2 linked regions of the Caenorhabditis elegans genome follow. The protein of the gene in region 2 purifies or fractionates together with the protein of the main gene of each other region. This does not show direct contact. Each region holds a gene or a part of one and is shown on either strand. Other genes may lie near its edges.

Region 1 (3,932 bases), on a different chromosome or scaffold from region 2:
ATTATAACAAATTTGGTAACTCACCAAGCATCCCTCTCCATTTGGACATGAGTCTTTCTTTGGTTTTTTGTAAAATTTTTCATAATAACATCGGTAAATAATTGGGAAGTAGTATGTTTTATTTGGTAGATCTTCAGCGGTCATAGAAATATTCGATGATTTGAGTACTCTGAAAAACTTTTTTAGTAAGAAAGAATAGAATCGATTCGTTTGTGAGTTGATTAAAATTGTATTCATGACACATAAATATATAAAACATTGTGGATTTTTTTGTATCAAAAATTGAATACTTCAAGAAGATTTCCTTCAAAAGTTTCAAGTTTCAAAAGTTTCAAAAAGTTGTAATAAAAAGACCTTTCCAAGTCATCCTGAATGGGTATCAAAGTAGAAGCATTCAGTTGCATGCTCTCCAACATTTCAAAATTGCTCATTCGATAGGAAACTGGATCAGTTCCATCTGGATCAACTGGTTTCTGCATATGAATTATGTAATTGCTTTTACTAACATGATGCCGATTTGTTGGAATATTCCATGATTCGTGAATCCACATTGAATTCAAATTTCCAGGTTTTGTCATAACTTTTCCGTAATCTTCTTCATTCACAAACCAAGTGTGACCAAACAACTCTTCGAAATTTATATCTTCTATTTTTGCTTTATTGTAGACCATTGTTTCTCTTTTTGTATATTGAAATGTTAGAATATTTGGATGAAGCTCATACAAAGCAGAAAATTCGTCAAAATACGAATCATACCCACGTGGAATGAAAATATCATCCAAATCGAAAAAAGTGATAAACGCAGCAGCTTCTTTGTATTGATAAAGACAATCCGATTGAGCTCCTGCTTGATTTCTTAGTTCCGAATGAAGATTAGGCTCTACAGAATCAACCGATGAGTTTGCCAATTTCAATCTCATCCAATAGTCAATTGTAACATAACCAAGTCTTTCGTACTCTTGGACCAAATCGAAGAATGTATCTATGATACTTGTAACGTACATGTGAAGATGACCTCCAAATTTCCGAGCAACATGTGCATGTGCCACAAATAATTGCCACTGCTCTGCCACAAATTGAGGAGAAATACATATAATTACAGATGCTGGAGCTGTAGTTTTACCCATTTGGAACGGAATCTGGAACAGGGTTTTCTATAATTTAACTTTGATAAACCAAGAATAGACGTTTTTTTTTCAATATTAAATCACGAACCTCCATTTTTCTTTCACCATCAAAAATCTCCAACTTGTTCAAATTTGGCAAAGTATTTACCATTGCAACCATGTTAATGTATGGGCAACTGGAGTACGATTCTCTAAAAAATTAAAAATGAAAAAAAAGACAAAAAAATCAGCTGACTCCAAGAACTTGGGTGTGACAATCACGGATTGATGTGAAGAGTTAGATGCAATCAATTTCATTCTATACTTTGTCATGTCTCTTTGAGTATTTCGATTCATTAAAAGAATCATTCCAATCGCATTTTCTCCTAATGAACTCGATTTTGGATAGTAATATGTATTGATTATATATGCATCCGTTTTTGTTAAAGATTCATTATAAATGGGATACGTCAAATAATATTTAATTGATGATAACCACAAATTCATTTTATCGTTGTTCGGAAAATATATAGGAATAATAAAATAGAAACATATAAGTATTAGTACAAAGTAAATTACAACATTCCATTTTTTCAAAAGTATTTTGATTCGACGAAAATCGAAATTATTAATTTGTCGTTTAATTTTCGTCATGATTAAATTTATTAAAATATGGATGAACGAGGTTGGAATCTGGAAATTCAAAAATAATGGATACCGTTTTATTGTACGGATGCCGTAGATGCCATCTTCAGATTTGGGTAAACGTTACGCGGTTCACTCGTCGCGGAAATTCTATTTCAACGATAGGATTTACGATCCAAGAGAAAATAACGATCTTCATTTGTTAGGACAGTATTAGACATTGCAGAAGGTTTACTTGAAGTTTGAAAACACGAAGAAAAAAAAGTTTTCAGAGAAGTTCGTTTGCCAATGTCAAAAATATTGACAATAGGGTGGAATTGGTTTTGAAAGAACAATAGCAAAACCCATGCCCATGTCCTCGCCATCGCTGTCCCTGGTTCTATGCTTCAAAATATGATCGAATTTCATCAAATTGATCACCTAGTAGTTTTTAATCAAATAAGTTATGAATTTTACTAGCAATTTATTACCATAATGATGCCAACTGCAGATTTTGACTTCCAGAGATAAAAAGTTATTAAAATGTTTATTAATTACGCCATTAACCTTCAATAAATAATACAAAGAGATTTCAAATTGAGCAGAGAACAAGAACAATGGAAAATTCAATACATAACAGAAATTCAATAAATTACAAAAAGTAACTATCTGGATAGCACAAGTCTCCAACGCCACAAGTGTATCCAGGAAGTGGACAGGCTCCATCAACACATGGTCCAAGTTTAGTTGTTGATAAGACTTGAGAAGGACAACAATATCCAGTTCCCATGCATTCATATCCAGCAGAACAGTCACTTTGAAGTATACAGTTTCCGGCGCTTGATCCAACTGGACAACGACAACAGACATTTCCGGCTACGCAACTATGTCCTGATGGGCACACCCCGTTGTTACGACAAACTCCACCCGATGGCTCTGTGGCTCCACAGAAGAACTCTGGAAACGACAACTCTATTTGTTGAAAGTGTTTTATATTTATTAAGAATAAGGTTAAAACATAACAAAATTAGTAGAGTTGTTAGTTATGCCTTACGTCCGTTTTGGTAAGTTCCAGTGAACTGTTGTGCTCCGTACGGCAAGTACTGGTTTACATTTGTATTTGTGCTGCTGCTTGGTACATTTACATTTACAGGAATAGTTCCATATGCATTATAACCTCCATTGCTGGTTCCATATGGATTATAGTTTCCATTGTAGTTGTTATTGATGTATGGATTATAGTTGTTGTTGTTGTTGGAACAGCATGAGCTAGCACATGGAGAGTAAGCATTGGATCCCATGTTATAGGCAACATATTGTCTAAAAATTAGATTATAGCTTTAATTTAAAACCTGAAAAGTCTAACCCATTAAGCCAGGATCCTGAATATTGATTGCAGTTGAGATTGTTACAGTTTGAGTTGCAATTCATGTTTGGATTGTAAAATGAAGAAGGAAGAATAACTTGATTTCCATAATTGTTGAAGTTACAATTGTTGTTATTACAGTTGTTGTTTGAGTTACACGCTAAATGACCATGCGAAATTATTTAAAAGTTCCAAGTCGCTATAACTTACGATATTGAGATACACCTCCATTGCACATATAATAAACTTGCATCTGCCGTTTAGACCGTTTCAAATCTTTAGCAGAACAAAAAGACGATGATACCAAAAGGACAACTAACATACAGAATATCTTTGCCATTTTGGAACACCGAAATGAAAGTGAGAATATGGGGAAGTGTGTTGAAAATGGATCAGCACATGTCTTTTATACTTCCAGGGTGTGCTCCGAAGACGGTCAATTACGTCATGTCTGCCGTGGCATGGGTGTGTGCATGAGCACTTTGAAGAGGAAATGGACTGTACTTTGGAGGTACTTCTGACCAGATCAGCGTGGGATTTCGGAAGAAACGATCTGCGGAGGACTTTATTGAAATGTTGCGTTGTTTCAGGAAAGAAAAAAGAGATGAAGCTACCATTTGTTCAAGGTTTTTGATTTCATCACATTTAACCAACTTTTTTTTTTCAATTGGAAGTTCAGGTACAATATCACAAAAATGAAACTTGATTACATAAAACCCTTCTCATTTGACAACTTGAAACCACAGCATCAGAATTTTTTTTCGTTATTAGGACGTCCCTCGATTAATCTTTTAAAAAACAATTGTGAACTATTTATTCTAATTGTTTAAAGGGTG
Region 2 (3,932 bases):
ATCAGGTGAGAAACAAAAAAAAGATTTGAATATGATTTACCAAGTGGGGCAGAATCTTTTGTCCATTTGACAACTGGTTTCGGGTATCCTGTTACTGGACAAGTCAATGTCACTGATTCTCCTTTCTGGAAAAAAGTTTTTGAAATGATTACTGTAATTGTTTTGTATTTTTAGAAAATATTTATTTTGTATTACTTTAAAACGATTTTTTTAATTCAAAAGAACCCAAATTTTTTGAGGTTTATTAAAGGTAGCTTCAGGAGCAAAATCTTTTTTCACGCTTCACCAAAAAGTGGGAAAACCACAAAAAATGTGCATACCTCAACAGTAGTTCCAGTGCTTTCCAAATGGAATTCATGTCCTTCGTGCTCAGTAAAATGTTCGTGAGAATGTACAACAGGTCTTGCTGCAATTTCATTATTTTCATGTTTTTTTTTCCTTGGGGTCACCTGCCCCATCATTCCCTCACTCACAATAAATGAAGACTTTATGGCTGATCTTTCCGTGTGGTGTGTCCAACTCACATTTGTACTCGCCGGCATCTGCAAAACAACAAAATGAAATAGTATTGGAGATGTAGAGACGTAGACACACATGTGTTGTTAGCAACAATTCCATTGTTACCTAGATCCAGATGTTCCGATTGAACATATTTTGGTGATTTTGATACAGAGTTGGAATAAAGCTACCAAAAAACGTTTGATGCTTACAAAGTCAAGCTTTAGAGTTTCCAAAATGATCAGAGTTCCTCAAATATTACGAGAAAAAAGGAAAATCCCAACATGAAAAATTGGTTTTTTTTATATTTTTGGTTGATCTCTCTGGTTAAATTTCCTTCAAAATGAGAACTGCAAGACCAATCAGCGTTTTGCTCCGCCCTCTTCTGAACTACACTTCATCTGATTGGTTCAAAAGTGGGCAGAGTTAGTCGCTGATTGGTCTTGCAGTTTTGATATGATTTTAGAGGAGAAAATTATACTTTTCTGGAGAATCTTATTTCCTGAAACTGTTTTCACTAAACTCGATTTAAAAAAATTTCAGATTTCAATTGGCAACATTTGAGATGTTCCCAGTTTCACAAAACATGTTAAAATTGAAATTAGACTTGAAAAAGACTTTTCCATAACGATTTTTCCATCATTTATTAAATAAAAGTAGGCTTTTAACAAAAAATTCTAAATTGACTTTTTAAAGTTCAAAGTGTTCCTATACAGCTACACTTTCTATAGGGACCTATTTAAAACATTATCCTTCTAATGGAATAGGTTTTATTTATAAAATTGAGCTCAAACAAATTTTTTTGTAAGCCTTAAAAAATGCCAACAAACCTTTCACTGATGGTGATCCAAAGGTGTATGTCGCATTTTTCTTGGTTGGATTCAACGCAGCTTCGAGCTTTTCATTATCTGAAGATCGAATGAAATGTGCAGTTTTTATGACAACCTGAAACAACACTGTAAAAGTTAATTTATCATAAAGTGATAAAAACCTGTGGATTGTCTGGAGCACACCAAATTGTGATTGGATCAGTTGCATGAAGTGGATGATTTTCCGAAGAACGAGCAGCAACCAAGACCAATGCAGATTTGGATCCTCTTCCACCGAGAGCTGTGACAGTGCTCACCACGAAAAATGTGATTAGTAGTAGGTTTTTCATACTAAAAATATACTTTTAGAAAACTAATGAGAAAAACATAAATTGAGGAGAAATTGAAGAGAATTTTCTGATGCTTTAGAATTCCAAATTGAACAAAGAAACGAAAGTGCACTTTTTGAATTTCAAAATCAGATTTAAAGAGCAAATACGACATGCAGTAACAATACAATTAAAACAAAGATTATTCATAGAAATTTATGATATACTAGACTAGTTTTGGAGTTATACTCACTTGAAAACTTTAATAAACTCGATTTAGTGTTAAAATTGTAAAATGCAATTAAACTGGAATAAAATTGAAATGGTAATTTTTTGATTTTATGGTAGTCGCTATATTCAACTATAAAATGCGCAATTTTCAATTGATTCGTATAGTCAGTTGTTTTTGTTTGTTTATCAGAAAAATTGTTCACTATAATTTTTTATTCCACAGTTTTGTAGTTGATTATTTTTTTCAAATTTGTAAAATGAATTGAGCATGAGCTATATTGTGTTAAAGTGGAGTAAATGTGTGAACTCTCAACTAATGAAATACGGTATTCCCTAGTAAGAATTAATAAACATAAGTTCCCATGCTTGACCAATTGGTAAAATCATGAATAAGAATGCTCATGAAGCTACTAGATTCTATCCATAAAAGAAATGAATAAGGATCTCGAAGAATAAGCAGTAACCGATGAATAGGGGGTTCTTCTATCTAATGCTCTCTTATTTCCTCTTTTTCATTCTTTTCAATTCAATTCAAATTAGGAAGATAGATAGGTAGTGAGTGTGCAATGGAATAGAAATTGGAAGAGAGAGGATATCGAGAGGATATCGAGAGAAAAACGAAGAAGAAGAACCTTCTTCTTTCGTATTCCCAGGCCCGTTGCCGCGGGGCGAAAATTGGTGGAAAATGTGAGAGTAAAAAAGAGAGTGTGGAGAGTGAGAGAGACGCAGAAATGAGAGAAGATCTCTTGAAGAGAGCAAAAGGAGCAGAAGAAGAAGAAGAGCAAGGAAAAGACGCGCTTGACTTCTGGGAGCTATTAGAGATGAGAGTTTAAGAGTAAAGAACGAGAGGAAAAGAGAGAGGAAGAGACTAAAGTGGTTCATCTCCCAAGAGACCTTCCAATTGTCGGATTATTCCTGTTGGAGACATTTTGATTTTTGACTCTTTCATGTGACAGTTCAAAATTTGAAAATGCCTTCTGATCAATGTTGGGATAATTGCCATCTTTTTTCGAACTAGTTGCACTCGATCCTAAAAATATCATTGTAGCTGTCAGATTATCCCTGGTCTTCCAAGAAAATAAATGTTTCATTTGAAAGAACATGCAAAGCTTTGATTAGAATATCATCAAATGTAAGCGGGAAAACTCAACTAATACCCTCTGAAATGTAGATCTGAAACCCGTAGAATTTTTCAACATCAGTTTTCTGTGGTCTTATGATAAGTTTAGAGATGATAGGAAGCTTTTTGGAATTTTGGTATTCTCGGGAAAATTTTTTAAAAAACAACATAAATCGTATAAATAATTTTCAATAACTTTTCAGACCGATATTTCAGACGGAAGGAGTTGAATTAGACCGTTCAATTTTTGAGATATATAAGTCTAGAAGACTATCCTATATATAAAAAACATGAAAAGAACGAAATTGGATTGAAATCGTCACAAAAGGCACCATTCAAACCTGCAGTAAATTGAAATCTGTTCATGAATAACCTCTCTTGAGAGAACCTTTTGCTCATTCACAATTCGACCTCTTTCTTTAACATCTCCATTTCTTGAATACTATTTCTGCTTGTCACATCACTTATGCAAACCAGAAAGAGCAACATGTCACATTGAAAAGTCCCAGGAAAAAACTCGACAAATTGGGGTAAGAAAAGGCAAAAAAAGAGTCAAAACGGAATGCTAAAAGCATTTCTTCTCAGAGCCTTGGATAAAGTAAAGGAAAAAGAGAAAAAAAAAGAGAAAGCTGTAGTGGTCCAACCCTGTTAGTTTCCGGTTAAAGTAATGGAAAGGAAATGGATAGAAAGTGGACGAGAAAATGAATGTCATGACAACCTTGTTTTTATTTTTCATTCTTTCAAATGGTTATACATATGTATTTATTCCTTGTTGTTCATCACTTGAAAGTGAATACAAACAACAACAGGAGCACAAAAATGATAATATCAGCTAATTTAAGATTGGTTTCTTCCAGTTCGAAACAATACAATTCTAGATGATTAGGTTCACACTGTTCGTGGATTGAAACGTCCGCAATGTGTGCATTACGAACTGTCGTTTTC

Evidence for each region.
Region 1: the proteins of zig-1 (region 2) and gtnt-14 fractionate together in Caenorhabditis elegans (co-fractionation; one large-scale study listed by BioGRID). This does not show direct contact.

Annotation. Positions count from the first base shown.
Region 1 is NC_003283.11:10,503,740-10,507,671, reverse strand, and holds the start of gtnt-14 (Glycosyltransferase family 92 protein C35A5.5), read right to left. Parts: upstream 1,820-3,932; 5' UTR 1,761-1,819; coding exon 1,363-1,760; intron 1,319-1,362; coding exon 1,216-1,318; intron 1,140-1,215; coding exon 355-1,139; intron 170-354; coding exon 25-169; intron 1-24. Other genes in the region: C35A5.10 (uncharacterized protein), read right to left, coding at 2,383-2,687, 2,785-3,050, 3,097-3,256, 3,307-3,436.
Region 2 is NC_003279.8:9,845,132-9,849,063, reverse strand, and holds the start of zig-1 (Zwei Ig domain protein zig-1), read right to left. Parts: upstream 1,659-3,932; 5' UTR 1,658-1,658; coding exon 1,490-1,657; intron 1,444-1,489; coding exon 1,329-1,443; intron 543-1,328; coding exon 474-542; intron 407-473; coding exon 321-406; intron 126-320; coding exon 41-125; intron 1-40. UniProt on the Caenorhabditis elegans protein: Probably not involved in maintaining the position of ASI and ASH head neuron cell bodies and ventral nerve cord axons of PVQ, PVP, RMEV, AVK and HSN neurons.